Linked DNA regions of Tamandua tetradactyla. The protein of the gene in region 1 interacts with the protein of each later gene in a biochemical or structural test. Links are inferred from orthologs where the notes say so. Each region holds a gene or a part of one and is shown in the gene's direction. Other genes may lie near its edges. The genes, in order: GTF2F1, GTF2B, CDK9 and GTF2E1.

Region 1 (7,192 bases):
AATTGGGAACTGGACTGCTTGGGCTTCCATTCCGCCTTCACAAACACTTAGACTGTGTGACCCTGGACACGGTCCGAGATCCTCTTGTGGAAAGGCAGTATGGGGACTAGAGCCATCCCTGACGGTGACAATTCAGCCATGCCAAGCGTAGAGAACAGTGCCGGCCCAGCCAGCACTCAAGACGCGTCCCCGTCCCTGTTGCCAGGGGGACGCATTGCCAAGTCAGCCGGCTTTTTTTCAAGAAATGTGATCTGAGATCTCCCAGTTTCTGAAGGTTCACTAAGAATTCAAGAACAAGGCTGTCTAGTCCCAAATGGATGCATCTGTGGATCAAATGGGTAGGTTGTAGGTTCTGTCTAGACTCTGCAGCCACTGTGGGGTCCATGCAGCTGGCAATTATGATGGGAAACCTATTTAAGGCCAGAACTTGGCCCTGAGGCCATGGAGGGCAGAAAATGGCTCAGCCAGCCCTGTGCTCTCCTGGAGTCTCCATCCAGGAGGGAGGGAGCCCAAGATCTGCCCTTTAACTTCATCACAAGTCGTCTGGTGTAACTGCTTGAATGGAGACAGGGACACAGGGCAGCACCCCACTGCTCTGTGACCTTTGATTGCATCAACACATCCAGACCACTTTGAAGGGAATTTAACCAGAATCGACACCCGCTGTAGTTTCCCTCTTCCTGCTACCCATTTCCAAATGGAATCAGAACAATCCCAGATGCTCCTGCCCTCAGCCTCCCCGTTCAGAGGCTCAGATGGATCCTTTCATGGAGTCAGTGTCCACAGGTAAAATTAACCTGAAGAAATCCACTCCAATGTCCTCTGTCCCTTCCCTTCCCCGCCTCTGCCTGGGTCGCTATTCCACCACCTCTGGGGCTGCTTCCAACTCCATCCCTCCACTCCTGGGCACCCCCCAGACCACCTAAACTTAGAGAGCCCACTCCCATCCCTCCAGGATTCATTCTGCTTTCTGTTCCCCACTGCCCTCATCCCTTCCAGAAGTTTCTTTGTTTTGTTTTGCACGTATTGCTGGGCGCCTGATGTCCCCACTGGAATGGCAGCATCTTAAAAGCAGGGCCCATGTTCCTCCTCTTGGCCTTTGTCCCCAGGCCCGAGGACAGCACCTGTTCTCAAGAACTATTTGGGAATGGGTGGTTGAATAGATGAAGGAGTGGTGATTTACATCCCATCCTGTGCCCTAAAGATGATACAAACTCAGTGGGGAACTATTTTATCTACTGGGTTCCAGGAGCTCTGGAGGAAAACAGTGAGAGGCCCTCAGAGAGCTCACTCAGGTTCTAGAAACTTCCCCACAACCTGACTGTCCCTTGATAACACATTTCCCTTCGGTCTCCTCTGCCGAGTCTCACTCTGTTGCCCTCGGCTTGCCCTCACACACACATACACGTGCTTTTGGGGTCACTCACAATGCACTCAAACTCCTTGGCCTGCTGCAGTTCCCGAAGGAAGCCATCAATGAGGAAGCCCTGGCTGTCCGGGCAGGACAGCAAGTTGTCGCTGACCATGTCCAGGATGATGCCCTGCGAAGGAAGCAGGTGGATCTGGTGTTTGGGGTGGGGCAGGGGGGCCCTTCCCTGCACCCACCACCCTGGGAGAACTTTTTTTATATGATCACTTTGATGGGGTGACACCTACCCTGCCCAGTGGCCTCTGAAACCCACTTCTGAGGATGGGCACCCCCCCCACACTGTTGACTGGGTGGGTGTCAGTCCAGGTGTGCTGGGTCCCATATGATTGAAATAACAATATCTCGAGGTGGGTCCTGGTGTTACAGAGGGGGTCCGGGGTCCACCCAAGGCCACAGAGGGAATAAGGCCCAGATGATTTTATGGAAAGCTTCCTAAGTGCCAGGAACTTCTGCTCAGTGCTTCAGAGGAGTGACCCACGCCTTCGGACATGGGTCCAGTCGGTCAAACCTGTCTCCCAGATGAGGAAACGGAGGCTCAAGGCAGGCCAAGCAAGGGCTGGGAGCCACGGCCACCTGGGAGGTCTGCCTGGTGCACCCCCTCCTGCCCTGACCCTTGCCCATGAGCTCTCACCGTGGGCACCAAGAGCCCCTGCAACATGATGTCACGGATCTGCCGGCCCCGCTGAGTGCCCCGCTGCGCCTCCTGCCGCAGCAGCTGGCCCAGCCCCACGTGGCAGAAGCTATATCTGTTTGCCATATTCTTGCACTGCGTCCCTTTGCCACAGCCGGGGCCGCCCATGAAGAAGACGATGAGGGGGTCTTGAGGACACCTGTGGTGCCCAAGGAAGAGGGAGGAAGACGATTTGGGGTCTGATGGGCTGGTGAGCACCAGTGTAGCTGTGTTCACAGTTAGGGCGTGCTCTTGGGTGGCAGTGCACACAGGTCTCCTGGCATACCCTCTTTTGCCCTAGGATGGCCTCTGGGGTCCCTGGACATATCCAGGAGTATACCCAGGCACGTTATGAGTTGCTACTGCCATGGGCGGCTGTCCACGAGCAAATGAACTCGAGCAGGCCAAGCTCTTCACAGCATCTCCTTGAATCAGCCCACCAGCTCTATCATCGCATTTCACAGTTGAGGAAACTGAGGCTTGTAGAGGAGCAGGGACTCTCCCATGTCCCCAGACTCATTCCATCCTCCCCTGCCCCATCCCAGTGCCCATTTTTCTGTTCCTTTGAACATGCTGAACTCATTCCTCCCCAGGGACCTCCACCTGGAACACTGCTCCAGCTCCTTCAGGCCACACATCAGCCCAATCCTCCCCCTCTCATCCCCAGTCTCAGGACACCATTTCCTCCACAGCAGAGACCATGGCCACTAATTATTTTGCCCATTTACTTGTTCTTGTTTGTCTCCCCAGCCGGACTCTGTCCTCCATGGAGGCAAGGACTCTTTCTGTCTCGCTTATCCCTATATTTCGAGCGCTTGGCACAGTTCCTGATATATAGTCATCAGAGAGGAATAAAGTAATGCCCAAGGCTACCAGGCACATCTACGGAGCCTGTAGTTTACAGTTGCATTTTTGTGTCTTGCTCCCCTCTCCCTTTGCTTGGTAACTCTTCTGCATCCCTCGGGGCCCAGCTGAAACCTCCCATCTCTCCTGAGCAGGGAGTTGGTTTTGCTCAGTCCCCCAAACAGCGCAGCACACAGTCGGAGCAGGTGGACCAACGAATGAATGGCTGCGTGGTGAGCATGCGCGGTCGGCGGAGGCGGGGAGACCGCGCATCTGCACTTCCCTCCTCAGTTCCCTTCCCCTGCCCCCAGAAAGCTAACCACCCCAGCTGTTACCCTTCTCCTGGGGCCTCAGGGTCCTGCCCATTTTGGGCAGCTTGGACTTGCACAGACCCATCCCGTCAGCCGCCAGAGGGGTGGTCGCTACCCATCCCTACCCAGGGCCTGACCCCTCCTGGCTAGGCTCGACGTCACAAGGGCTCCCTGGTCCGACCATCTTCCGGGATGAGGGGGTTCCCCGGGGGCAGGAGGAGGAAATGAACCCCAAACAAGCCCTGGTGGAGCCGCAGTGGCTCTGCGGGATGAGTAGGCCTCGGCTGCTATGGTAACAAGGATTCGATGGATTCACTTCCGGAGATGACGCGTGCGCAAGGCGCCTGGGACTCAGCGAGGAGGGAGACCCCCTTTCCCTACCCAGAATGCCCCGCGGCCATTAAGGGGTGACGTCGATGGGGAGGGCGTTCCCAGCCGCAGTGATTGAATCAGTCGCGCCTCTTTCTATATATAGATAGTGGAAAACCAGAGCGCGAGCGGCAGAAGGTGCTGCATTGAGTTCAACTCGGTCTAGAAAGAGAAGGGATAAGTGTCAGCAAGTGTAGGGGCCCGCGAACCAGGAGGCGGTTGCCATCGCGACACGGGGCCACGGAAAGTTTCGCTTCCAGGTCAGGCGGCGGCGCAGGCGCAGACGGGCGGGAGTGGGCCGGCGGCGCTGAGGACTTGGGGTCTTCTGTCAGCGACCGCTTCCCGCGACTAAGAGGACTGCTTCCCCGAAGGCTGAAGGACGCGAACCTCGGGGGAGGCAAGAAGGAGGAGGCCCCGACAACTTGACTGGGTCGGACGGCACCCGGACCACTGACTGTTCCCATGGCGGCCTTAGTAAGTATGCGGCGGCTTTAGGGAGTCCCGACCCGGGTCTCTTAGCAGCCCGCCCGCTCGTCATCCCACTTCCTCTCTCCACAGGGCCCCAGCAGCCAGAATGTCACTGAGTATGTCGTCCGAGTTCCTAAGTAAGTCCCAACCCCACATCCCATCTGCCTCCAGACGGGAATTACGACCTCTACGAGCTTCTAGGCGTGTCTGATTCCTTTTAGATCGGGAGCCTTTGAGGGCAGGTTGAACTGAGGTCTCTCCAGGGGCTTCTGTTGTTTTGAATGAATAAGCGGGCGATCATCACTGCACAGCATGATTCAGGCTCCTGGCCTAGCATTGGAGGCCTGTATGCTTCTCTATTCCCCGCATTCTTGCTGTAAGGACATATTTTTATCCTTTCTCCACTGGTCTGGCTTTCATTCATGTCCAGGACCTCCAGGAAGCACTCCCTGCTTGCCTCCAGCTCTGCCCCCTCCCTTGCTCACCCTACTCTCCAGAGCCAAATTCCCCCAGGTCTTTGTCCTTATTTCTGCTGTACTTTTGCCTGTGGTTGGGAGAGTGTGGATCTGGCTTCCTTGACAGACTGGAAAACCCTTAAGTCTTTTATGAGTCCCTAGCATTGCCCTGCCCAGAGGGTCAGCCCAGAAGGGTTTGTTGAATGAACAAATGTATGAATGAATGAACACTGCCTTTTTTTTTTTTTTTTTTTTTTTTTTGCCCACTCAAGAAACACAACCAAAAGGTATAATATCATGGCCTTTAATGCAGCTGATAAAGTCAACTTTGCTACTTGGAATCAGGTAAGTCCTTTGTTTGGGGGTGGGAGTAGGTGGATGAGGGAATGAGAGAACCTGATTCTAATAGCTTGGAAAGGAAGGCTGTCCTGGAGTGGAAATAAAGTGATGACTAAGGCCCAGGCAGAGCTGCTGGATGTCCGCTTAGGGGATTTGGCAGACCCTTCAGAAAGCCTTCTTCAAGGAGAATGTTTAGGAGTCATGCCCACTAATGGGCATTTTGGGCCCAGATTGTCAGGGCCAGGAAGGGACTCTGCTCTGGGCTGCCTCCTACACGTGGCTCCAGAGCCCCCTGCAGGAGAGCTTCTAGAAATGACCTTGGAAGCCATGAAAGGGTTTTTCAAACAGGCAAGTCACAGAGTTATCTAGCTGCTGGGGCTAGGGAGGCAGCACTGCGTCTGGTGAGCAAGGCTGGGAGAAAATGGAGGTGATGAGCAGTGGTTGGACTCTGATATGTTTCGGAAATAGAGCCTACAGGGTTTATTGATGGATTGCGTATTGGCCAGTGAGGGAAAGTGAGGAATCACAGATGTTTCCATTTACTAAGATAGAGAAACCTGGAGAAAGTGCAGTTTGGATGGAATATTCCAGAACTCCATTCTGGAAATTTGTATTTGTTAGATACCAAAGAGAAGATGAGAAGTTAAGCAAGCAGTTGGATATATGAGTTGGAGTTTGGGTGTGAGTGGGAGTCGGGGTGTTTAGGGTGCCACCGAGACTGGGCAGTTGAGCAGGGAGTTGGTGGAAGGTTTATAGCATTGGCAGCTTCAGGCCCTCCCACAGTTGGGCAGCTCTGATTGCATATATTGTGAGCATGGTTCTCTTTCAGCTGTTTTCAAATATTGTTTCATCCAATTGAAATAATGAAACTATATGTTCAAGATGGCTCTGAGTGATTGATTGCCCTAGAGAGCGTGTTCCAGAGAGATATGCCGTGCCTGCATCCCGGGATCTCTAGCTACAGATCTCTAGCTACCTACTTACGTACAAACTAACAAGGTCAAACTAACATGCTTTCCACCCCCTACCTGGTCCATTCCCCCCATCCCAGCCTAGTCTGTCATCTGATACAGTGTTTCTAAATCCCTTATCACTGGGGGAGGGGGGCTTCTGCACTAATCATCCAGGAGAGAGATGTAGGGGCACCCTTCTCCCAAATCCCTAATCACCAAGAGGAAGTCCTCACTGGTTACCTGGGAACATTACCCTTAGTCCTTCATCAACCAGAGGGCTGCCCTTCCCTACCCCCATCCCCGAGCACCTAGAGAACTTTACACCTTTGGAGGAGCTGTGCTCCTAAACACCAGTCACTTTGAGGAGGTGCTACCCCAACACTGATCTTTCAGGGACAGCACTTGAGAAGTCAGCATTATGCAAGGTGCATGACCTCCCGACCACTAGAAACTCGGGGTTCTGCGTACCCCATTCATTGATCGCCATGGAGAAGCATGCCCCCACCACTGATTGCCCTGGAGGACTCCTTGTTTCTAATCTGGGAGATGAGGCACCACCACCCCCCCCCCAAAATCTAATCATTCCATTGCCGAGGGTACTGCTTCTAAAGAAATATCATTGTTCAGGGTACCCTCCTCTAAAAAAACTAATGAGGAGTGGGCAAAACTGCACCCCTTGGAAGAAACCAATCTCCTGGAGTAGATGCCCCCTTAATCACTGTTTTAGTTTGCTAAAACTGCCAAAGGCAATGTACCAGAAATGAGTTCGGTTTTACAATGGGGATTTATTAATTTACAAGTTTAAAGTATGAAAATGTCCAAATCATGATGTTTTCTCCCCATTGACTGATGATCCTCAGTTCCTCTGTCACATGGCGAGGCATGTGGCTGGCATCTGCTGGCCCTTCTTTTTCAGGTTTCCTTGCTTTCAGTTACTGTCTGCTCAGACTGTGGCTTTCTTTCTGAGTTTCTGTGTGCTTCTCTTTTAGCTTCTGTCCCTCTTAGCTTGTGTCTGATTCTGAATGTCATTTCTTATGTAGGACTCCAGTAAGAAGTTTTCAGACCCACTTGGGGCATACCTCAACTAAAATAACCTACTCACAAGGCCCCCACCTGCAATAGGTCTACACCCATGGAAATAAATTAGCTTTAAAAACGTGATCTTTTCTGGGATATGTACCATCACATTCACTCATCACCCCAAGAATGGGGTGGTTACAGCTCTCCAAATGCTGTCAGCCACAAGGGACAGCCCCTTTCCTGACACTTAACCACCCCCAGGCAACACTGGGGTAGAAACTACCCCCAGACACATTCATTCAGCAATAGTTCCTTGAAACTGTCTTCTAGGCTGA
Region 2 (7,523 bases), about 40 Mb from region 1:
CTTAGCACTTTGAGAAGTTGCTGATTTTCCCCAATGAAAAGTTCTATCTGTACTCAAATAGCAGACAAGCCATCAATTCTGGGAGCCAAAGATTTCAAACATATCAATAAATAAGCAAATGGAAAAGTTAAGTTCAAGATCACATATGCAAATACATTTATCAATGGGATATGAGCCAGGAACATTTCAGTTTAAGTAGCACATGGGCTGACAAACACAAATGTCCTTGTGTGGACAGCTGTCCAAAATATTTTAGATCACAGCTAGCCCATAAAATCAAGTCCACATGATTGCTGCGGGTATACTGTTTATTGAACCCATTTCCCCAATTTTAAAGTCTTTAAATTGGAATTTCCATATATTGAGCTACAATTATGAGGCATATTGTATGGATTATGGACCCAAATTGCTGTGTTCAAATCCAGCTCTGCCTTTTACTAGTTGTGTGACTTCAGGTAGCTGCTTAACCATTCTGTGCCTCAATTTCCCCATCATAAAATGGGGATAATAATAGTATACAACTATTAAATGAGTTAATGTATGCAGAGCCTTAAAATAGTATCTGGCACAAAATAAGTACCAAATGTGTTTGCTGCAATTAATATCCTGATTATGTTTATTACTACTCCTACTGCTACTACCAGAATTTAAATAAGGCTTTATAGCCCTTATTAAAGAATCAAAAGGCTAGTAATCACTTCTACAAAAGTAGTCTGCACATCCCAGGGCACAATAATTTAGACCTAAAAAATATAGTTTTACAAATAACAGTTATATAATATGCATGCATGGAAGCAGGAACATTTTAGAATCAGTCATTCCTTACTTGAAATTTTACTATACCACTGCCTTACTGGGTGACCCTGGACAATTTGCCCACTCAATCTTTCTAAGTTTTCAGAGGAAGAATAATAATACTTGCCTGGCAAGATAACTAAGGAGCCAATAAGATCATGAATGTGAGGTGCAGGCACAGTGCACAGAGGGTTAGGAGTGTGAGGCACTCTTCTATTTTTCAGAATAAAGCCATGGAAATTGCAAAACCTACATGCTAGAGATTTCTTCTGTTTGGGAAAAAGGAAAAAGAAAAAAATAGATTCAGAAATAATAAAGCCAACTTCTGAAAAATGAGCAGTTAAAGTTGATCTCCAGTTTCTGTGATGTTCTGCTGCCTTCCCAATCTCTTTGCCTCTGGATCTTACAAAATCAGCACCTCTGTGGGGAAAGGCAGGGGTGTCTGCACTGAGAGCGTGAAACTTGGCTTCCAGAGCTCATTGCTACTCGAGCCTGCACTGTCTCAGCTCCAGCAGGACCATACTATCCCGCCTGGTGAAACCAAGTCACCAGGAATTAGGCCTAGGACAATAGCCACCTAAAAACTCACTATGTCAAGATATCATAGGTAATTTCATGAGTATTATATTGCTATCTGGAAAATGTTTAAAAGACCATCTTTTTAAAGAAATACACACTAAACTCTGTATGGGTTGAATTAATGTCTGGGATTTGTTTTAAGATATGTTGGTAAAAAGGAAAAAATAAGAGGAAGAGATACATGAAACTAAAGTAGCAAAATCTTGATAATTGATTAATCTGGATGATGGATATATGGGTAGTCATTGTATTATCCTCTTTAACTTTGAATGTGTTAGAACATTTTCATTCTTGTTTAAAATTTTTTTTTTTAAATCCCTCAGGTTTTTAGAAGGAATACATATGACCTCAGGTTTGGGTTTGCTAAAGTTGCTGGAATGCAAGATACCAGAAATGGGTTGGCTTTTACAATGGGGGGTTATTAGCATAAATTTTACAGTTCTAAGGCCGTGAAAATGTCCAAATTAAGCAATCAACAGGACAATAGCTTCTCTGTAGAGAACTCTGTAGAGACAGATGTTAGGCATAGAGTCCTTAAGGATTCCATATGAGACAGCAAGTCAGATTTATTGAAGGAATAAAATAGGGAGGAAACAGGTGGGAGAGTGAAAAGAAGAAAGCAGGTAGGAGCCTGAAATTGGCTCCCTCCTGGGGAGCCAGCAGGAAGAGAGAAAAAGAAAATGGCTCAGAGTCTTTGTTCTGGGAGCTGTGTTTTAAAGGGACAGTGATGCCAGGAGGGGAGGGTGCCCACTTGGTGGTGTGTTGTCCCTTAAGTGGATGGGGGCTTGTTGACTTAGGGTATGATAGATTGCTGAAGTATTCTCCTTTGATATGCAGGTTCATGTATTAGGCAGGGTGAGATGCTGGCAGGGAGGGTGGTAGCAGTGCCATCTAGAGGATACCATATTAGCTACTATGGCAATTGGTTCATATCTGGGTCCTTGGACCTGCCAAGGACTCTGAGGAGGAGGCTGAGGGAGCTCTGCATGGAGTTCCTTTTGTTCTTAGTCTGAAATCCAACAATAGAGGCATCTGGGACACCTCTGTCACACGGGAAGGCACATGGCCGGCGTCTGCTGGTCCGTCTGTCCTGGGTTTTGTTACTTTTAGTTTTTGACTCAGCTCTTCTGGGGACTTTTTCTCTAAACTCTCTCAGTTTCACCTCTCTGAACTGCCTGAGCATTTTCCATCTCCCAAATTCCATTTACATGAAAAGTCCAGACAAGGCAAATCTATAGAGACAGAACCACTATAGATTAGTGGTTCCTGGGGCTGGAGAGCGAAATGGGAAATAACTGGGCATGAAGGATCTCATTTGGGTGATGGAAATGTTCTAAAACTGGATTGTAGTGCTTGTTGCACCCACTCAGTAAAATTACTAAAAATCATTGAATTGTATACTTAGAATGGGTGAATTCAATCAACCTTTTTTTTAAAGATAAGTTCACCTTGGTCCACGGACTTTTTAAAATCTTTTATTAGGAGTGTAAAGCATTTTATATTTTAGAAAAACTATAACTAGTGCATCAAGTTGCTATTTCATTATAGTGATATAAACTTTGTCTTCAAAAATATTTTAAGTTTAAAAAGAGGAATTAATTTAAATAGAATTATTAGCATATTATTAGTCAACCTTATTGATGCCTAGGTGATAAAACTCAAATTGTGTTGCTATTTTTATTTTTAATCTCAGAATCAGTTATAAAAATTAAACGGGATACTGTTGATGAAAATACTTTATAATTTGCCAATGCTGTACTAACAACAGAAAAGGAAAGGCTTGCCTATTGCCTTCAACATTAATATAAAACATAAATTTTTACACGGTTACGACAGGGAAGAGACTTTCTAGGTGGGGCAGTTAACTAAACTAATCCATTTCCTTGTCTCCCTCTTCTGGGGCTTCAATTTCTCTAGTAGTTTTATCCTTTAACTAACATTTACTGAAAGCTTATCATGAATTCGCTCGGGGCTAGTATATTCGTGATTCTCAAGAGGAAGTCTAGCCACCCTCCTTCCCTTTGTCTCTCTCCTTTTCTCCAGAGCCAAGCTACTCTACCGTGAAAACTCCTTACCGAATTGGAGAACACCTTCAAACCCTTTCCTGGTGGTGCTTGGCTCAGCTGAAATGGATTGACATTTTTAAAACTTTCTCAATCACTATGGAAGAAAAAAACAAAACCTCACGAGTCAGTCATGTTTTTAAATTACAGAATGGAAAACTGGAACAAAAGAAATCATGCTCCCCCATCCCCGTCTAGATTTCAGTTCCTAAACTGCCCCCACCCTACACTTCTTTTTTCCTAAGGAAGTTTCTCCCACCTTCTCAAGAAAACAAGGAGTATTCAGTGGCATTTAAGTCTCATCCCCAAATGAATAAGGCGGTTACTATATTCTAAGTCCTTTTCCCAACAGAAACCACATAGCATCCTCTCTCCTCCAATCACCAGAGGAACCAGGGTGGTGCGTTCCCAGCAAACTGGTATTCAGACTTTAGTTTGGCTAATTAGTAAATATAGGAACCCTCTGTGTTATCTAGAAGGTGTACCAAGTTCTCCATACTTCAGCTATGAGCCAAATTTTTTAAAGACCATGAAAAACGATCAGGGAAGAGTCCATATATCCTCCCCTCATGCTCTGCAGAATGTTCTCACGTGCTTTTGTTTAATGTCCTGCCAACTCTAAAAGGGTATGCAAGGCGGATATTATTACCCCTTGCACTGATGGGGCAAGGGACGTGCCTAAGAAAGCACAGCATGTTAGCCGACAGCACAGCCAGAATGGACAGCCGATCTACGTGAATTTCTCTTTTCACTCCAAATTCCTTTGTGAAAAAGAATCAGCCCTCAAGGCAAGCAAGAAGTTTACTCAAACTGGAGTAACTGACTCCCGAGGAGCGGTTAACCCTCGATGGTATGGGCTTTGTTCTCACAATGACGTCGGGGTTTTCTTCATGTTTTAACATCCGTTGAGGGTAGCTCTGGGGCAGCCGTTTTTCAAGGACGTTTCCCTAGACAGTTTTATTAACTCGCCCATCAACAAAGTACAATTCAGAAACAGAAGAGAACATTTAAAAAGCTCAAAGCACGTGGCGTATGGGAGCTTATATTCTTGGCCTTTCTCCCGACCCGTAGCCGCGCCCAGTTACGACTGCGTAAGTGACTCGCCTATAAAAGCCTGACTCCTCGCGTCTTCTCGCCACAATCTCTTCCTGTTCTCTGTTCGGTTGTTGTTGTTCCTGGAGCCGTGGTGGCCGTGAAGATGGCGTCTACCAGCCGGTTAGTATGTCCGGCCGAGGCCGGCCAGCTAAGGGGCGGGCGGCGAACTCCAGGGATGCGTAGGCGGTCCCCTACGGCAGCGTCGTGCGAAGCGACCTGGGAGATCCGGGGAGACGCGGCGGAACTGGCTGGCGGACCCGGACAAAGGTCCAGACGACAAGACTGTCAGGGGTGTCGCAGGGGGTTCCGGGTTGTCGGCATTACAGTCTCAGCGTCCTGGGTCTTCCCAGACTTTCTTTTGTACGGTCGTTTTCTTAATTCAGGCACTACCTGGTGTGGGCCTGGGTGTTTTCAGCCGCCGGCCCCTCCTCTTGCCTGTATTTCAACCGTTTGTATTTGTTTTTTTTCCTTCTTGTCATTTTTCTCCACGTTTGTTTTTCCACCCAAGGCCCAACCAGCCTAAGTGTCCAGAGAGTCTTTCTTTCCAAAGAGCGGGAAAAGGGTAGTTCCAGGTCTCTCGATCTGACAGTTTGAGAGTTGAGAACGTCAGCTTTGGTAACCGAATGGAAACTGCTTACCATCCCAGCGGCGCTCCGAAGTGGACGACAGGGCATTTTTTAATAGTTAATGAGTTCTCATCCAAAAGATTTCTTTACAGATATCGCCTTCTGGATACTCCTGAAGAAAATCTTGCCTGCAGGCAATTACTTACATTATGCTGGGAAGTCACTCTTTACAGATATTTGTTAAGTGTAATATTCCCGTATCTAGTAAAAATGCATGCAGTGCCCTTGAGAAGCAGCCTTTAATCTTGTGACCTAAAAAATGCATGCAGACCCTAATTATATCTTTCATTACCCCTATGAGGTAAATACTAGTATTTTTGCATAAGTGTAAACTGAGTCATGCCAATGTTGACTTTTTTTAAGGTTAGTGTTAGAACAGCTAGTAGAACCTCAGATACCTGTTTTCTTGTTATCACACATCGGGCATCTAGTTAACTCAAAATGTATTAAGAGTATCAAATTTCTGCAGCACGGTGGAAGGCATTCTTCTTTAATTATTCTGACTATTATTATCTATGGAATTGAGCTCCGAGTAGAAACTATTGCTCAAAAAATAGTAAGCTGAGTGAGTCTAAACCCTTTCTGGTAACTGCCAAGACTTACCATTTTATATTGCGGAATTAAAAAAAAAATTTTAAAAGGAGCAGCTTTAGTTAATAGTCTGTTTAGAAATAACTCTTAAGACTAATGACACACTTGTTTACTGATTCAAATTCAACGATTGAGTGCTCAATCATTCAGTCTGGGTGTGGTTTTGTCGGGTAAGGCCAGAAAACACACTTCCCTTCCTCGTGGGTATATGGAAAACTTTAGTTTCCCAGAGTCAGCCAAATACAACTTATATTTTCATGGTAGTAAATTTTGGGAGTGAATGTCATATTTGGGCCTTGCTTTTGCATAAAATATATTAGAACAAGAAATTTTATTTGTAAAAAGTGTTGCAGTTTTTAAACAGTTTAGATCATTGTAAATTCACTTGATTGATTTTTTGCCTAAACAGTACATTACTTTTGTGTCTTTATTTTCTTAATTTGTTTTTAAAAATCCAAAAATTTGAAATAAATTTTTACTAGATAATCTGCAGCTCTTGAATTTATGTGCTTTTGCACTTAGACATCTCTCAAGTTTTTCTTTTACCAATAAGAACAAAGAAAGGTCACTGTTAATATATTTTCTTTTAGTTTTTTTTTCCCTGAGGATGAAATACAACCTCTGAGTTGTGAAATTGCCTGTAGTTCTCATAGAGAAGAGCACAAATTTAGTTCAGATCTAAGCTTTACTGCTTATTATTTTGATAACTTTGGGTACATAATTCCTGAGCATAATCTAAAATGGTGATGAATGCCTATTTTGCAGGATTGTGAAGATTAGTAATAATATATGTATTGCACTAGACACATAGTAGACACCCCGTAAATGATAATTGTAAAATGAGGTTTAGGATTAACTGACACTTTAGGTAGTCTACACTATTTTAATGTACATGGTGTTGGTGTTCTCCGTTCCTTTCCTAGTGTTTCTGTTCCTTACTTCCTCCACCACTCCCACTAGAGTGTGGTTCCTCTTTTATGTTACTCTTGTGGATAATTTGATTAAAAGTTGACTACTTTAGCATAGTTTCATTTTATTTTGGATAGCTAGCACAAATCCAAAGTAGGAAAGAATATATACTGAGAAGCAGTTTCCCTCCCCTACTACATCCATCCAGTTCTCCAAAACAGCCTTTGTTTCCAACTGCTTGGTGTTTGCCTTGAGATACTGTTCTTTTAAAAACATTTATATATGTTCTTGCCTCCTTTCCACCAGAAAGTGGCCTAATATAACCAGTGTTCATAACCTTGCTTCTGTCTTTATTGAAGTTAGCACATAAATTTTAAGTGCACAGCTCAGTTATTGCACAGTGAACTCATGCACATAGCTGCCATCCAGAACAAGAAATCAAATTCCCCTGGCACCCCAGAAACCTCTCTTCTGTCTTCAATTATTACCCCTTCCCATAGGTAACCATCTTCTGACTTCTAATACCATAGATTTACTTGGCCTGCTTTAAAGTTTTCATAAATCAAAAATGTATTCTTTTCATCAGCATTTTGAGTCATCCATGTTATTACATGTAACTGCAGTTCTTGTATAGAATTTCAACTTTACTTTTTTTGCTTAGCCTATTTTTGAGAAACATGTTTTCATATCATTATACAGAGTCATATAAATACTACTAAGATAATCTATCTACTTTTTAATGGTGCAGAATTATTGCTAGATCAGTCCTTTGTTAGTTATGTTCCACATGACTGCCCATTCTCATTTTATAATTATTGTTATTCTAACATTTTTGCTTTATTTCTCCATAGTTTTTCATAATTTA
Region 3 (6,918 bases), on another chromosome or scaffold:
TTGTTGCCACTGGTTCAATCTTTTGCCTCCTTCCAGTACCTCTAAGGCCATCTTTAGCTACAGTGCCCCCAAGAACCTGCTCTGGTTCCTGTCCCTCACTCCTGCCACCTCTTCCCCAGTCTATGACCCAATAGCCTGTAGCTTGGCCAGGGACAATTAGGGATTGGAGGCCTTAAATGTTATAATCAAAGGTACTGGACTGAGGCAAACCTAAGTTCAGTCCCCACCTTGGTGACCTTGGGCAAGTTATGTCACCGTTCTGAGCCACTTTTTCCCATCATTAAAATGGAGCAAATATGATGTTTCTCGTATGACCGTGAAATAAAACATTTATACCAAGATCATCATCCTTATTACATCCACGTGTGTCTTTATTTGCATGTTCCAAACAGACCTTAAGCTCCCTGAGAGAGGAATGGGTCTTACCCATACTTATTGGCCCCATGCCTGCTAAACTGTAGGTGCTCAATAGATGCTTTTCCCTGGGTTGACCCCATTGACTGGTAATGGGGGCAATGTAGGATGATGGTTAATCACTCTAGGCTTTGAGAGAAAAGACATCTGGCTTTGGATTCCAGCTCAATTGCTTCCTAGCTGTGTGTCCTTGGGCAGGTCATTTCACATCTCTGAGCCTGTTTCTTCTTATATAACCTGGCCTTGATTATCATACCTCCTAAGAGGGGTGCTATAAAGTTTCAGGAGGGTGATGCCTGTCAATACAGGGCCAGGCAGAGTTAGTTCCCAGCCAGTAAGGGCAAAACTTCCATGGTTTGACAAGACCGTGGGCATCACACAGATGTTTTCTCTCCTCTATCCCCCTCCCCAGAGATCCTTTGTCTTTCTGGATGTGCCAGATGCAAAGAGCAACCTACCCAAAGAATCTGTCTTCTCCTTCCCCTCCACATGCCCATTACCCATCCCTGCTCAGGGGTGGGAAAAGGGTTCAGGCTAGGGTCAAACAGCTGAGCAGTGACTCTCTTCCTGCTTAATGTGTCAGTTTCCCTAACTATAAAATGGGTAGCAGGACCAGAGTTCCCAGGGCCTGATCAGACAGTCACTCAGCAGACATTTACTGACTACCAGTCACGTGCCCCACTTTGCCTGCTTAGTGAATACCTGGGATACAGGAAACACTTTCCTCAGACCAGCAAAATTGAAATCAAAGTCTAGAAATTGTTTCTTGCTAATTTCTTCTCACCTTCACTTGGGTTTTGGCAGCTCTGGTGATGTCTGGCCCCAAGCCCGGGCAGCCTTCTGAAGGGCTCCCAATGCCCTGCCTGCCTTCCTTCTCCAGGCAGGGCCCACAGCCTGAGGGAAGTGACTGGCAGATGTGAAAGTTCAGGTCACAGATGGTGGAGTAGAGGTGACAACACCACCGGAACCTCTGCTGAGGCTTCTGCCCACAGGATGTGACTTATGGGATTGCTCGTGTGAAAGAGACAGCAGGTCCCAGCCTGAGGGCCTGATGGTGGAGGCCACATAGACCCATGACAGACCTCATAGTATTGCTACTATGTCCTCACACACCTCCCATCCAGCATCCAGTCCACATCCCTAGTTCTGCCCCCAGCCCAGAAGGGCAGACCATGACATGGGCAAGAGCTTGGCTTTATGCCAACCTGGCTCAAATGCCAGCTAGGCCACTGGCCAGCTATTTGACCCTGGCCAGGTGACATCACCTCTGAGTCTCAGTGTCCTTATGTGTACACCAGGCTGGATAATAGTAGGTACCTCATAAGATTCAGGGAGAATTGAGATAATTCCCTTAAGTATAGGGCTTAGCACATTTATTTTTCCTCAATAAATGGTAATTACTATAACTATTATCTTCCTCTCTGCCCTCTTGCACCTGATTTGGCCAAGGGTCTCCCTGCTTCTAACAGTGTGCCCAAGAAGCTGACCCCAGCTCACTTCTTATCAAAAATTCTCACCAGCTCCACGTTACCCTCAGGAGAGGACACCCGGCTCCTCAGCCTGACTCTCAAGGCTCTCCCTGGCAGGGATCTGCGCAGAACAGGCCTCTTGGGACACCACGATCACCAAACCCGTTCCTGCCTTTTCTCATGAGAAGGCCTCAAGGCCAGGCAGTGAGGGGTAAAACCTATGAAGCCGCCCTGCAGGCCTCCTGTAGGCAGAAAGGTTACTTTTGGGGGAGAGAGGTCAGGGGAGCACAGCCCTGAAGCCAGGAAGCTTGGGGAATTAGTAGAGAAACCCATAAGGACACAGCCTGGGATTGTAAACTGGAAAGAGCTTTAAATGTCACAGTCAGGATTTTCTTGAGACAGTTGGAGGGCTTGAGGAAGGTGGGAAATATATACAGACTCTGCTTTAGAATAATCTGGCAGGTGCTGTGAGGGGGACAGATGAGGAGTCTGGGGTGGCCAGGACTCCCGATCCCTTATAGAGGGCCGGAGCCCAGAGGGCAGATTGAAGAGGTGCAAGGAGTTAGAAAAGACAGCTTTGCTGGGGGCTGGTCGTTGGGTAGATCTGGAGGAGGAATCCAGAGGCTCATGGAACCAGAGAGATATGAGGGAGGTGCTGAAGAAGGCATGGGTAGGATGGGAAAGGGGGAGAGGGCACAGGGCCCATGAGGGAGATGGTAAGTGAATAGCCGGCTTGGTGCCTGGCAGACTGTAAATACTGCGAGCTGCAAGAAACTTCTTCAGTTTCAGAAAGCCCAGGTTCGAGTCCCAGCTTTGTATGACCATTGGCAAATAATCTCTTCTCTTAGAGCCTAAATGGCCACTGAAAACCGGGTTTGTAATACTGACTAACTAGGGGTTGTTGTCAGGATTCGGCGGAGTCCCCAGCACTTCTCCAGCACACAGGTGTGCTCAGTAATGTTAGCTATCTTTGTGATTACTGTCCTTTGCCCAACTGGCTCTGACGCAGCAGGGCGGAGTGGTAGTTCCTTGGGGTCTCATTCTTGCCGCCCAGAGAACAGGGATCCAGGGCCGAAGGCCCGGCTGTTGCTCGCTCACCGCCTCCAGTGTCACCGCGCCCCCTAGCGGCCATCGGTTGCCATGTCAACGGCGGGTGGAGGAGGCCTGGGGAGGCCGCGGAGTGGGCTGGTCTCTCCTCCCAGGGCCGGAGGCCGCTCCTTTGACGCGTCTCGCCTTCGCCTCTAGGGGGGCACCCCGAGCTGTGGAGGAAAGGGTTCCCCGAAGCAGCTAGTAAGGGGCGGGGGTAAACTGAGTCAGGCGGAGGGGCGCCCCACAGCCAGGTGTCGGGCGCGGGGGGCCCACCTCCAAAGACGGGGGCGGGGCCGCGGGCGGTGACGCGCCGAGGGCGGCCGGCGGACAGCGGGAGGCGACAGCGGCAGCAGCGGCAGGTGCGGCCGCGGAAGGTGGGAGGGAGGAGGGAGGAGGCGGGAGGAGGGGGAGGGGAGGGCGAGGCCCGGGCACCTCCCCCTTTATAACGCGCCCCTTCCCGGGCTCTCCGGCCGCCTCCTCGTCGGCTCTTCCCGACTCGACCCCTCGCCCGGCTGTCCTGGGCCGGAGCCTGGCCAGGAAGCCCCCAGGCCGCGGCTCGGGGGCCGCTCCCCCGCCCGCCGCCCCGCGCAGCCTGGCGGAGGCGGCGCCGGCGGAGGAGGAGGAGCAGGGCACTGCGGCTGGCCCCGGATCGGGCGCCAGAGAGGCAGCAGCTTCGACAGCAGCGGCGGTCCGAGCCGATGCAGCGGGACGCACCGCCCCGAGCCCCAGCCTCGGCGCCCCGGCTCCCCGCACCCCCGATCGGAGCTGCCGCCGGCACTGGCGGCGGCGGAGGCGGGGGCAGTGGCGGCGGCGGAGGCGCCGCTGCAGCTCCGGCTCCCCCTCGTCTCCCGGGAACTACAAGTCCCAGGGGGCCTGGCGGCGGGCGGCGGGCGGAAGAGGCGGGGTCGGCGCCGCGAGGCCGGAAGTGGCCGTGGAGGCGGAAGTGGCGCGGCCGCGGAGGGGCCTGGAGCACGGCAGCGGGACCTGGGACGGGAGTGGCGGCGTCTACTGGAGGCGGTGGCGGTGCGCTGGAGGCGGCCATGGCAAAGCACTACGATTCGGTGGAGTGCCCGTTTTGTGATGAAGTGTCCAAATATGAGAAGCTCGCCAAGATCGGTCAAGGCACCTTTGGGTAAGACTCGGCCCGGGGAGACCGGGGGCTGCATGCTTCAGGGCCGACGCCGGGGGCCCGGGGTCGGGCCCGAAGTGGTTGGGAAGCCGCCGAGCCCCGGGCTTGTCCCCTTATCTCCCAAGGCCGCACTGCATCCCACCCGGACCTGACGGAGCCTTCTGGCGGGGAGGAGCCTGAGGCTTCTGGTGGGGTACGGGAAAGGGTTGCAGAGAGAAGCCCCTGGGGGAAGAGGGACTTCTCCCAGATAGATGCCTGAGTGAGGAGGAGGAATTGAGGGAAGGAAGCGGAGAAGATCGGAGAAGGACCATAGATACTAGGTAGTGGGGTGGCCAACTGCCCCGTATACTCCGCCCTGCCCGGGAGTATCTCTTATCCTGCCCCTCTTCCTCTAGTGGGGGAGGGGCGGACCCAGCGGAAGCGGCCTGATGAGCTCTCTTGGGTCCCCCTCTCGGCCTGCAGGGAAGTGTTTAAGGCCCGGCATCGCAAGACTGGCGATAAGGTGGCCCTGAAGAAGGTGCTGATGGAGAACGAGAAGGAGGGGGTGAGTACAGGTTGGGTGGGCAGGCCTACCAGCTCCACTGGACATGGGGACCCACTTTTCCTAGGAGTCTCATGTTGAAATTCAGTTGGCATCTAGTAATTTGGGAATTGCCACATTCCAGAGAACTTGGCCTTCAAACTAGGTATTTTAATTAGAATGTTTTGAAGCGTTTGACATTTTATTTGTTAACACGGTTGGGGTCGGGAAGGGGAGCTTTTAACACTTTTCTCTTTAGTGTGTAGTTTTGGTTAATGTAAAAAACATCCACGTGGCTTTGAAAAGTTGAATTCTACTCAAGAGAACATATTGAAGAGGATTAACGCCCTGTATCACTCCCTCTTAGTCTAGTTCCCCAGAGATTAATTTTGTAGCCATGGAATTTTTTAATAGTTATTTTTGTTGTTTTTGCTACCACAAAGCAAGTTAAACACAAGCATAGAGCTAAAGTTGGAAGGCAGAAAGGAATTAAGGAGCATTTAGTGACTTGGTAAAGTGTGCTAAATATCTGTTTCAGTTAATTGTCTGGAATCAGTGTACATACTACTGTTATACTTATTTTATCCATAGGGGGTCTGAGGCAGTTGATTTCAGAGCCCATGTTCTTACTTCTTTCCCAGCCTCTGTTCCTTAGAACAGATTCTAGAGGCAGTTCCTTGGTCTGCACCCCCTCACCCACTTTTGACCCCTTATTGTCCTCCCCTTCTCCCCACCAGTTTCCTATCACAGCTTTAAGGGAAATCAAGATCCTCCAGCTTCTAAAACATGAGAATGTCGTCAACTTGATTGAGATTTGTCGAACCAAAGGTAAGTTGTTTGGATCTTATTCCCTATTTTCAGATGGTAACAAATGAGGTTTATAGCATGAACTTTGTTTACATAGCTGGAACTGGACATACCAAATGGCCTCTGTTTAACCCAGACGTAGTAGTGATGACTGCTTTCTCTGGTCCTCTCTCATTGTAGCTGATGCTTTCCCAGGGCTTGCCACAGCACCCAGCCCAGAGGAGGCACTCAGAAAATAGTGAAGGAACAAGCAAACGGATGCTTGAGGGCATGGGTGGTCCATAAGTTGAAGAGGGGTAGGAGCTGACCATGGGAAAGTGGGTTGAATGTGGGATTTTTTATTCTTTTCTTCTCCCTGCCCCCCCCCCCCCTTCATTTTTGCTGTTCCAGCTTCCCCCTATAACCGTTGCAAAGGCAGTATATACTTGGTGTTTGACTTCTGTGAGCATGACCTTGCTGGGCTGTTGAGTAACGTCTTAGTCAAGTTCACACTGTCTGAGATCAAGAAGGTCATGCAGATGCTACTCAATGGTCTCTACTACATCCACAGAAACAAGGTGGGCACCAAAGTGGGGGAGGAGTTACTAAGACTTGGGTTGGCCTTTGTGCCCACTGCTGGATGGGTGTGGTCAAAGGACTCCAAGGAACCTGGCTGAGCCCTCACTCCATCCCTTCCCACAGATCCTGCACAGGGACATGAAGGCAGCTAATGTGCTCATCACCCGTGATGGAGTCCTGAAGCTAGCAGACTTTGGACTGGCTCGGGCCTTTAGTCTGGCCAAGAACAGCCAGCCCAACCGCTATACGAATCGTGTGGTGACACTCTGGTACCGGCCCCCAGAGCTATTGCTCGGTGAGGACCCCTACATGGCCCCAGCCCCACACTGCCAGGGCTTCCTGAGCCATTAGCCCCAAGGCATTGCATCTCAGGAAGCCCTTGGGCTCAAGGGGCCCTCCTGGTGCGCTCTTCTTCCCAGGAGAGCGAGACTACGGCCCCCCCATTGACCTCTGGGGTGCTGGGTGCATCATGGCGGAGATGTGGACCCGCAGCCCTATCATGCAGGGCAACACGGAGCAGCACCAGCTCGCCCTGATCAGCCAACTCTGTGGCTCCATCACCCCTGAGGTGTGTGCGCAAGTTGCCCGGGCCCCTGATCCCCACAGGATGCAGAGACCCAGAAGTCTCCCTGGCTGGGGAGGAGTGGGGGAACGGAATATCAGAAAGCTCCTCCCAGGAGAGTTGCCCAGCAGAGAAAGGGCCTCCTCTTTAGTGCCCCACAGCCTGTGTGCAAGTCTTGGTTCTCTCACCATGTAGTTCTGTGGCTTTGGGTAAGGCATTTGAACTGTCATCTCAGAGTTGATTTTCTCTTCTCTGGAACAGAAGTCACGCTTGTATCAGGGTTGATACGCACATTCAACGTTGGGTATAAAGGGCTTGGCACTTGGTGTGTGCTTAATACACTGTTGCCACTGATGCTTTTAACGTTGAA
Region 4 (7,321 bases), on another chromosome or scaffold:
AACAAAGGTTAAAAAAAATGCTATCATCAATTGTAACAAATGTTCCAAACCAAAGGGAGGTGTTGGGGCTGGTGTGGTATATGGGGATCCTGTATTTATGCATAATTGTTTTGTGAACATACAAGTTCTCTAATTAAAAAAATACATGCTAATGTTTGTTTATAGTTTTATTCACCCTGTTCAATTTTTTTGCATTTGAAATCATGTTTATCTGTGCATTTATTTATTTATTTATGCATAGGCAGGCACCGGGAATCGAATGTGGGTCTCCGGCATGGCAGGCGAGAACTCTACCTGCTCAGTGAGCCACTGTGGCCCGCCCCTTATTTATTTTTAAATACAATTTTATTGAAATATTGCTGTAGTTTGTTAAAGCTGCCAGAAAGCAATATATCAGGAATAGAATGGCTTTTAAAAAGGGAATGTATTAAGTTAAAAGTTTATAGTTCTAAGGCCATAAAAATGCCCAAACTAGGACATCCAGGGAGAGATACCTTGTCAAGAAAGGCCTATGGCAGGCAGGCCACGTGGCTCAGCAGGCAGAGTTCTCGCCTGCCATGCTGGAGACCTGGGTTCAAGTCAATCCCCAGTGCCTGACCATGTAGAAAAAAAAAGAAAGGTCTATGGGTCTGGAACACATCTGTCAGCTGGGAAGGTATGTGGCTGGTGTCTGCTGGTCCTTTGGCTTCTGGTTTCAAAAAGCTTCCCTGGAGGAGTTTTCTTTCTGCATCTCCAAACATCTGCATCTCCTGATGGCTCTCAAGCAACTTTCTCCAGGCACTTGAGCTTTCTCCAAAATGGTCTCCCTTTTAAAGGACTCTAGTAAACTAATCAAGACCCACCTTGAATGGGGAGCTTCACACCTTCATCTAATCAAAAGGTCACACCCATAATTGGGTGTGTCAATCTCCATGGATCAATCAAAGTTTTCACCCCACAACACTGAATCAGGATTAAAGGACATGGCTTTTCTGGTGTACTCAACAATTTCAAACCAGCACAGATACATTCACACACCATACAAACGATCTAAAGTTTACAACAACTGGCTCATAGTATTACCACACAGTCGTGCATATATCCCTATGATCAATCTTAGAACATTTTCATTACTCCCATCCTGTTTAATTCTAAACTCTTTTGAGGGCTGGGGCTGGATGCTACTCAATTTTTAGTGTCCAGTACTGTGCCTAAATTAGTAATTATGAGTGAGTAAAATTTCCCATATTTTTACAGAATCCTTAAAAATAGTTTTAATGTCTCCATAGTATTTCAGAGACTAGACATAACAATTCACTTACCCATTCCCCCATTATTAGATACTTAGGGTCTTTTTAACTTCTCAATATCCTAAAAAAAGCTTTTATTGCTGTTTAAACTTTTGTTTAAAAGTAGAAAAATGTGCTTAATATAATGAGTAAAAAGAAATGAACATATAAAGTTTTCTTGATATATATAGTACAAACAGCTTTCATCTGGTTACATGGCTACCAGCCACATATGAGGCAGTAGATCTTGTTACATCTCAATAGTATCATATAGTTGCATTTTTACCTTTGTTAACTGGTAAGTAAAAAGAGACCTCTTGTTTTAATCTGCTTTTTTTTTTTTTACTTTCTGGCAAGATAATATTTCGTTCATCTTTGCTAATCAATTACCTTTTCCTGTTTATGAACTATCTGATGTGTTCTGCCCACGTTCTTATCAGTTTATATGACCTCTTTATATATTAAAGGTATTAATTTCATCTCGTGTATTTGAGTCATTTCCTTAGGTTTCTTTTTTATTATTTTAATTTTATTACATACAAATATTTAAGATTTTTGAATATTCAAACTTAGCTTTGCCGTTGTATTTATTACATTGCAACTGTATTTGTAACCATTAGGGTATATTGCTAATTTGTTAATGTTGGACCCATTTATCTGGGCACTTGGTTAATCTGATACAGGGCTTGAGCTTTTCATTTTGCTGTATAAGAGAAAATGTCTCTACTCAGTAATACTGTTCAGCTCTCCATTAATTAACTGCTTTGGGAAGAAAGTCTTAGCTATCACTGGATGAAATTCTGAACAGTAAGCACAGGTGAAGTGCTCAGAATAGTGGCTAACTTCATTTTTTTAAGAATCTGGGGGGTGGATAGGTTCTGATTCCATGTTATCACCATTAAAGCCAAATTAGATTAAAAGAATACATTTGGTTTCTTGGGAAGGGGGAAGCAATATAATTAAATGCCAGCTCCAAATGTAGCTGTAATATATTAAGCCTATTCCTAATATCTGAAAGAACAAAGAGAAAATTCTGTACGTGTTGGTGAAACTTTCAGGAAATTATCAAATACTTCTCTGGGGAAAAAAGTAAGTCTCTAAATCTCAAGTCTTTCCTTTATATACTTGTGAAATTCTCAAAATTCCATTGGGAGAATAATCCTTTATTCAAAAGTAAATTTTGAAGTTTAAATACAAAGGCAAATGTAGTGTAAAAAGTATATTCTAACCTGCCAGATAGTAAATTGTTCCTAAAAGGGAACTGACAAAAAGGCAATAACTGACTTAGTACATGCAGTATAACATTAGTGAATGTGTGACAAGAGTAATCATTTCCCTGGTGTGTAAGGCTGTGTCTTCTGTCTTACTTACTCAACTATGAAAGAAAGAAATGTTTACTAATTGCCTGATTACTTTTCCATATTTTATGCAGCAGATAATTCTACCCCTGTTACGGAATTTGCTGATTCCTCAGCACCTAATGCAGCACCTAATGCAGTGCCTGGTAAGCAGTAGGCACTCAAGCATTTGGGGGGAAGGGAGGGGAGGGAAAGAATAAATCTACTAGTTCCAACAGTATGTAACATGAAAGATTGTTAGATATAATATAAAGGGAAAAATAGGTGAGAGATAACCATGTTCCATAACATGAAGAAGTGCTACCAAGTGCTCTGGATTCCAGGCCTAAATCCGATTTGGTCTCTTGCCAAGTCTCTTGCTCCATACCTTATTTTCTTCATCTGCAAAACTAAGCAATCTGATTAAATTAACTTCAGCACCATTTCAAGCTCCATGACAAGAACTAGAGCTGACATGGTTGGTTTTTGCTCATGGAATTTCATAATACATTTCTTAGGGGCCTATTAAATTAATGCTTTCCGTGAAATACTTCGTAATTCAAAAATCTTCAGACAACGTGAAAACAACTCCCCATCTCCCAATTTGATATAGTTTTTGTAAGCTAGTTTTCAAACTCTCTGAAGTGAGTTCTGTCCACCTCCAAGAATCCAGCACAGTGTCTGCTCAGTGCACACACTCAAGGGTCAATTCAAGAAAAGCACATCCACTAAATTAACATTTATTTCGGGTTCTTAAAGAGTTTGGGATTGGGTATTACTGTGGGGAGAACGTGAGCAAGATATTAAAGGGGGGATGCAGATTTCAACTCTAGTTATCAAAATTTCAAGGTGTCAAAGAAGAATTTTAATACTAGGATTCCGTTGGGCTCAGCATTAATTATTAGCTGCTCCAGAATATGAGTCTTACCTTCATTTCTCTATTTCTCACAACCGTGTGCGTAAGTTTCAATGAAGTTTAAACGAGAAAGAAAATCAAGAAGCTCAAGTGAAAACAAAACAGGACCACCTATTTTATAAAGTTAGGTTTTCAAATGAGAGCGGATTCCGGGGTTCAAACTGGCTTTTCACAATCTCTCGGCCTCACTTTCATCACCTGTAGGGTAACGGCGCCGATTTCAAGATTAAATAAGTTAATATATGTAAAGTGCTTGGAACAGTGCCATTCTTAGCGGACGTTTGACTTCCTTAAAGAACAAAGTCTCTTCAAGGCGCGGTCCTACTAACATCTGTATCCCTAGCTCGGTGCTATCTTCTAAGACAAAAGAACTGATAATACATCTCCGTCTGAGTGAAACGCGGTGAAGGCGGAGCAGGGCCCGGGTTCTGCGCACCTAACCCCCGCGCCGCCGCCGTCTAGTCAATGCAGCAAAGTCCTCTGGGAAGTGTAGTTTTTAGACGTTGGAAAAGACTTCAGCCACGGGCCAAAGAGACAATTAAGCTGGGGGACAAGCAGTAAAGGGAGGATATTATCTGATAACTTAACAATGTCGGGCGCCCCAGAAGCGGGTTGAGCCACTCACCTGAGTCCCCCAACACCAGCACCTTCACACGATCCAAGGAAGCCATCTTGCCACCACCTTCCCGGGGTCAACGTCAGTTATAGGACGCTAGGCCAATTAGAGCCGGCCTGAAGGGCAGAGCCTTCGATTTCATTGGCCGGCCAAAGCGTGACTGCAGGTGAATGTAGGGAGGTGGTTTCCAAGGCTTGTCGCAGGAATAACGCGTTGACGTTGGCGCATAAGTGTCGTAGCTCGTTTAAGCCGGTAGTTGAGGCGCTGAAGGAAGCTGTAGTGGGAGTGTTCGAGCGTTCGCTTCGGTAAACCTTGTTCCCAATTCCTTGTTCCAGGTTCCCTGGCTCGGGGTCGCATTTTAGGCTTTCTCCTCCTTTTCACTCCTCTCTCCTTAACCACCCTCTGCCCTTTACCTACACTTCTAACCTGGACCTCTTTTTGGTCCTTCAAAGAACCATTAACCTCGGAGCAGCCCTTGTGCGACCGCGTTTTGGTTGGGTTTGGCTGCGCTGGGTTTGGTTACTGGTTTCAGCTGGGAGAATCCAAGGGAGTTTGGGGGCTCTGGGTCTCGTAGTGGGGAGGAATGAACATTTTTGGACCGGGCTAGGGAGGGCAGCTGGGTCCGGATGTTTGCCGCGAAACATGGGAAGGCGTGGAGAGTGCTATGAAATATGGTAATTATGAAAACAGCAGTTAGGTTTATAGAATCCAAGAAATTCTAGAACTGGAATACTTTACCGAAGTAACCTAGATTCCTCTCATCCTCTCTTTTTTCCTTTTATACTCCACTTTGCAGGGAGCATAATTTTTTAAAATCGCGAATTTGGTTCTTTCACCTTCTTGTTAAAACCATTTGAAGTTTAATAAAAGGCAACAGCCTTTCTTTTCTGGAAGCAGGAATGGAATAAATGAGTTGGGGAGGAGCAAGAGTGGGCTTGTTGGAAGAACACGTGCCTAGGTTATCTATTGAAAGTTTATGGTAATACTTTACTAACTGTGCTGGATCTGGGAATTCATTGGTAAACAAGATAAAGCCTTTGCTCACAAAATAATGTTTTAAGGGTGGGGAGAGAGATGGAGAAAGTAGAACTCTACTCTAAAGAAAGGAAAAGAGCCATAGGAGCGACTTAAAGAAGATGATTCTAATCTAACAAGAGAAATCTGGGAAGGCCTCTCACAGGAAATGTCATTTGAGATTTGAAGGATAATCAGAAGAAGGAGATTTGGACTTAGCTCTTGGGACAGATTGAATAGCAGGTACAATGACTGAAGTGGGAGAAAACCTGTTTGGCTCATGAAATTGAAAGATTGTCAGTGTGGCTGAGGCTAGGCTGACAAGGGTAAATAGAGGGCAGAGAATGCATTCATTTCAAATTTGTTTCTTTAGCTCTATGCTGGTGAACAGTAGTCCCTAAATGTTTTTGTGATTGGAATACATGTGGGTAAATGGTAGCCCAGCCTGTGTTTGGGTGTTTAGGCTGGTTAGGGATGAGGCTGGCAGGTATTTTGAATAAAAAGAAAAAACTCAGAAGTCACACACTCAGAAGGCCAGCCAAGCTTCTAACCTGTCTAAACGTGCCAACTGCGGTCACCTTCAGGTGCTTATTTGCATGTGGGGATGTGGTCTTTTTTTTTCTCAGATATTTTCAATTTTCAAGAGAAGCTGGAAGTTGAAACGTGTGAAATTTCACAATTTTTAAATGTTGGTAACTACAGAAATTTTTCAAGACTTTTTTTAGGTCAAACAATATGTGTATAGGTTACCACTTGAGACCTCTGTTTTAAGTTACTTTAAATATCCAGAGATTGAGTGGGAGATTCAGCAGGAGTGGGTAAGTAGAAATGGTGGAGTAGGGAAGTCATTGGTCAGAAGAAGAATTTCAGAATACGGAGATTTTGAACACAGTAGCACAGCACTGACTTCTTTCCTGGTTCATTTCTTTTGTACAGCTCTCTGCTGTGCATCTTTCTAGTGGTATTTCCTCAAAGATAAACATCTGAGTGCACACTGCTTCCAAACCTACTTTTCTGGTATTACCTATTTCTCAGATAATATTTATATATCAACCTTAATATAATAGCCGAAGACAAATAGCTATTTTTAAATTTTTCCTACTCTAATACCCCATTTTCAATATATTGTTAGTTCCTTTCAGTTTTGTTTCTGTATTGTTTCATTCATCCTGTCCTTTTCTTGGAATTTTTGGTTTTATTTTTTTTCTCCTCCCATTTTTGTTTTCCTTAGTTTTGACTTGATTGCTGTAGTTGCTAATACTCCCGCATTTTCTCCATTTTCACTCACTATAGACCGTTCCTCATATTGTTGAGTCACTTTTTTCTTTTTATTTATACTTTATTGTTTTTTTTAATTTCTCCCTCATTTTTTAAAGGACAGTTTTGCTGGATATAGAATTCTTGGTTGGCAGTTTTTCTCTTTTAATAATTTAAATATATCATCCCACTGTCTTCTTGCCTCCATGGTTTCTGCTAAGAGATCTGCGCATAGTCTTACTGGGCTTCCCTTGTATGTGATGGATTGCTTTTCTCTTGCTGCTTTCAAGATTCTCTCTTTCTCTTTGACCTCTGACATTCTGATTAGTAAATGTCTTGGAGTATGTCCATTGGATCTATTCTCTTTGGGGTATGCTGCGCTTCTTGGATCTGTAATTTTAAGTCTTTCATAAGAGTTGGGAAATTTTCAGTGATAATTTCCTCCATTAGTTTTTCTCCTCCTTTTCTTTATTGTTTTTTTTAATGCAGTTTTACTGAGATATATTCACACACCATACAATCAAGAGTCACTTTTAAAAATCTTATAAATGGCAGTACTTAGTTGTACTGTATTATGGTGCCAACCCTGAAAGAGAATTTTCCTTGAATTATTTCATTTAATCCATACGTCAACCCTGTGAGGAAGGCACTTTTAATCACTTTTTATATGAGGAAACTGAGTTTGGGAATTTTCCAGGGCATAGGGGTAGGAAGTAGAACTCAAATTCAAAATCCACTATTGTTGGATTACAGAGTGTTTATGTCACATCCATGTTTAAATCTTCAGAGGCCCCTCAAGTGTATCAGGCAAAGAAAACAGGCTGGTAAGTGACACTGGGACTTCCCTATGCAGAACGTGCATCGGAGGGATATATAATAGCCTGGTGCCCAGTTTGTCAGTGGTCAGTGACTT

Evidence for each region.
Region 2: the proteins of GTF2F1 (region 1) and GTF2B form a complex in vitro, tested with the Homo sapiens proteins (3 studies listed by BioGRID and IntAct). The link is inferred for Tamandua tetradactyla from reciprocal best matches to the Homo sapiens genes GTF2F1 and GTF2B.
Region 3: the proteins of GTF2F1 (region 1) and CDK9 form a complex in vitro, tested with the Homo sapiens proteins (2 studies listed by BioGRID, with this or other methods). The link is inferred for Tamandua tetradactyla from reciprocal best matches to the Homo sapiens genes GTF2F1 and CDK9.
Region 4: the proteins of GTF2F1 (region 1) and GTF2E1 form a complex in vitro, tested with the Homo sapiens proteins (3 studies listed by BioGRID). The link is inferred for Tamandua tetradactyla from reciprocal best matches to the Homo sapiens genes GTF2F1 and GTF2E1.

The regions. Positions count from the first base shown.
Region 1 is NC_135337.1:75,642,544-75,649,735, forward strand, and holds the start of GTF2F1 (general transcription factor IIF subunit 1), read left to right. Parts: upstream 1-4,227; intron 4,228-4,311; 5' UTR 4,312-4,371; coding exon 4,372-4,466; intron 4,467-4,817; coding exon 4,818-4,890; intron 4,891-7,192. UniProt on the Homo sapiens protein: TFIIF is a general transcription initiation factor that binds to RNA polymerase II and helps to recruit it to the initiation complex in collaboration with TFIIB. It promotes transcription elongation.
Region 2 is NC_135337.1:35,873,678-35,881,200, forward strand, and holds the start of GTF2B (transcription initiation factor IIB), read left to right. Parts: upstream 1-4,513; 5' UTR 4,514-4,635; coding exon 4,636-4,652; exon of another isoform or gene 4,653-5,109; intron 5,110-7,523. UniProt on the Homo sapiens protein: General transcription factor that plays a role in transcription initiation by RNA polymerase II (Pol II). Involved in the pre-initiation complex (PIC) formation and Pol II recruitment at promoter DNA.
Region 3 is NC_135328.1:50,628,524-50,635,441, forward strand, and holds the start of CDK9 (cyclin-dependent kinase 9), read left to right. Parts: upstream 1-3,896; 5' UTR 3,897-4,012; coding exon 4,013-4,104; intron 4,105-4,563; coding exon 4,564-4,645; intron 4,646-5,358; coding exon 5,359-5,449; intron 5,450-5,818; coding exon 5,819-5,985; intron 5,986-6,109; coding exon 6,110-6,281; intron 6,282-6,405; coding exon 6,406-6,554; intron 6,555-6,918. UniProt on the Homo sapiens protein: Protein kinase involved in the regulation of transcription.
Region 4 is NC_135336.1:25,108,758-25,116,078, reverse strand, and holds the start of GTF2E1 (general transcription factor IIE subunit 1), read left to right. Parts: upstream 1-4,311; 5' UTR 4,312-4,442; intron 4,443-4,448; exon of another isoform or gene 4,449-5,394; intron 5,395-7,321. Other genes in the region: RABL3 (rab-like protein 3), read right to left, coding at 4,147-4,192.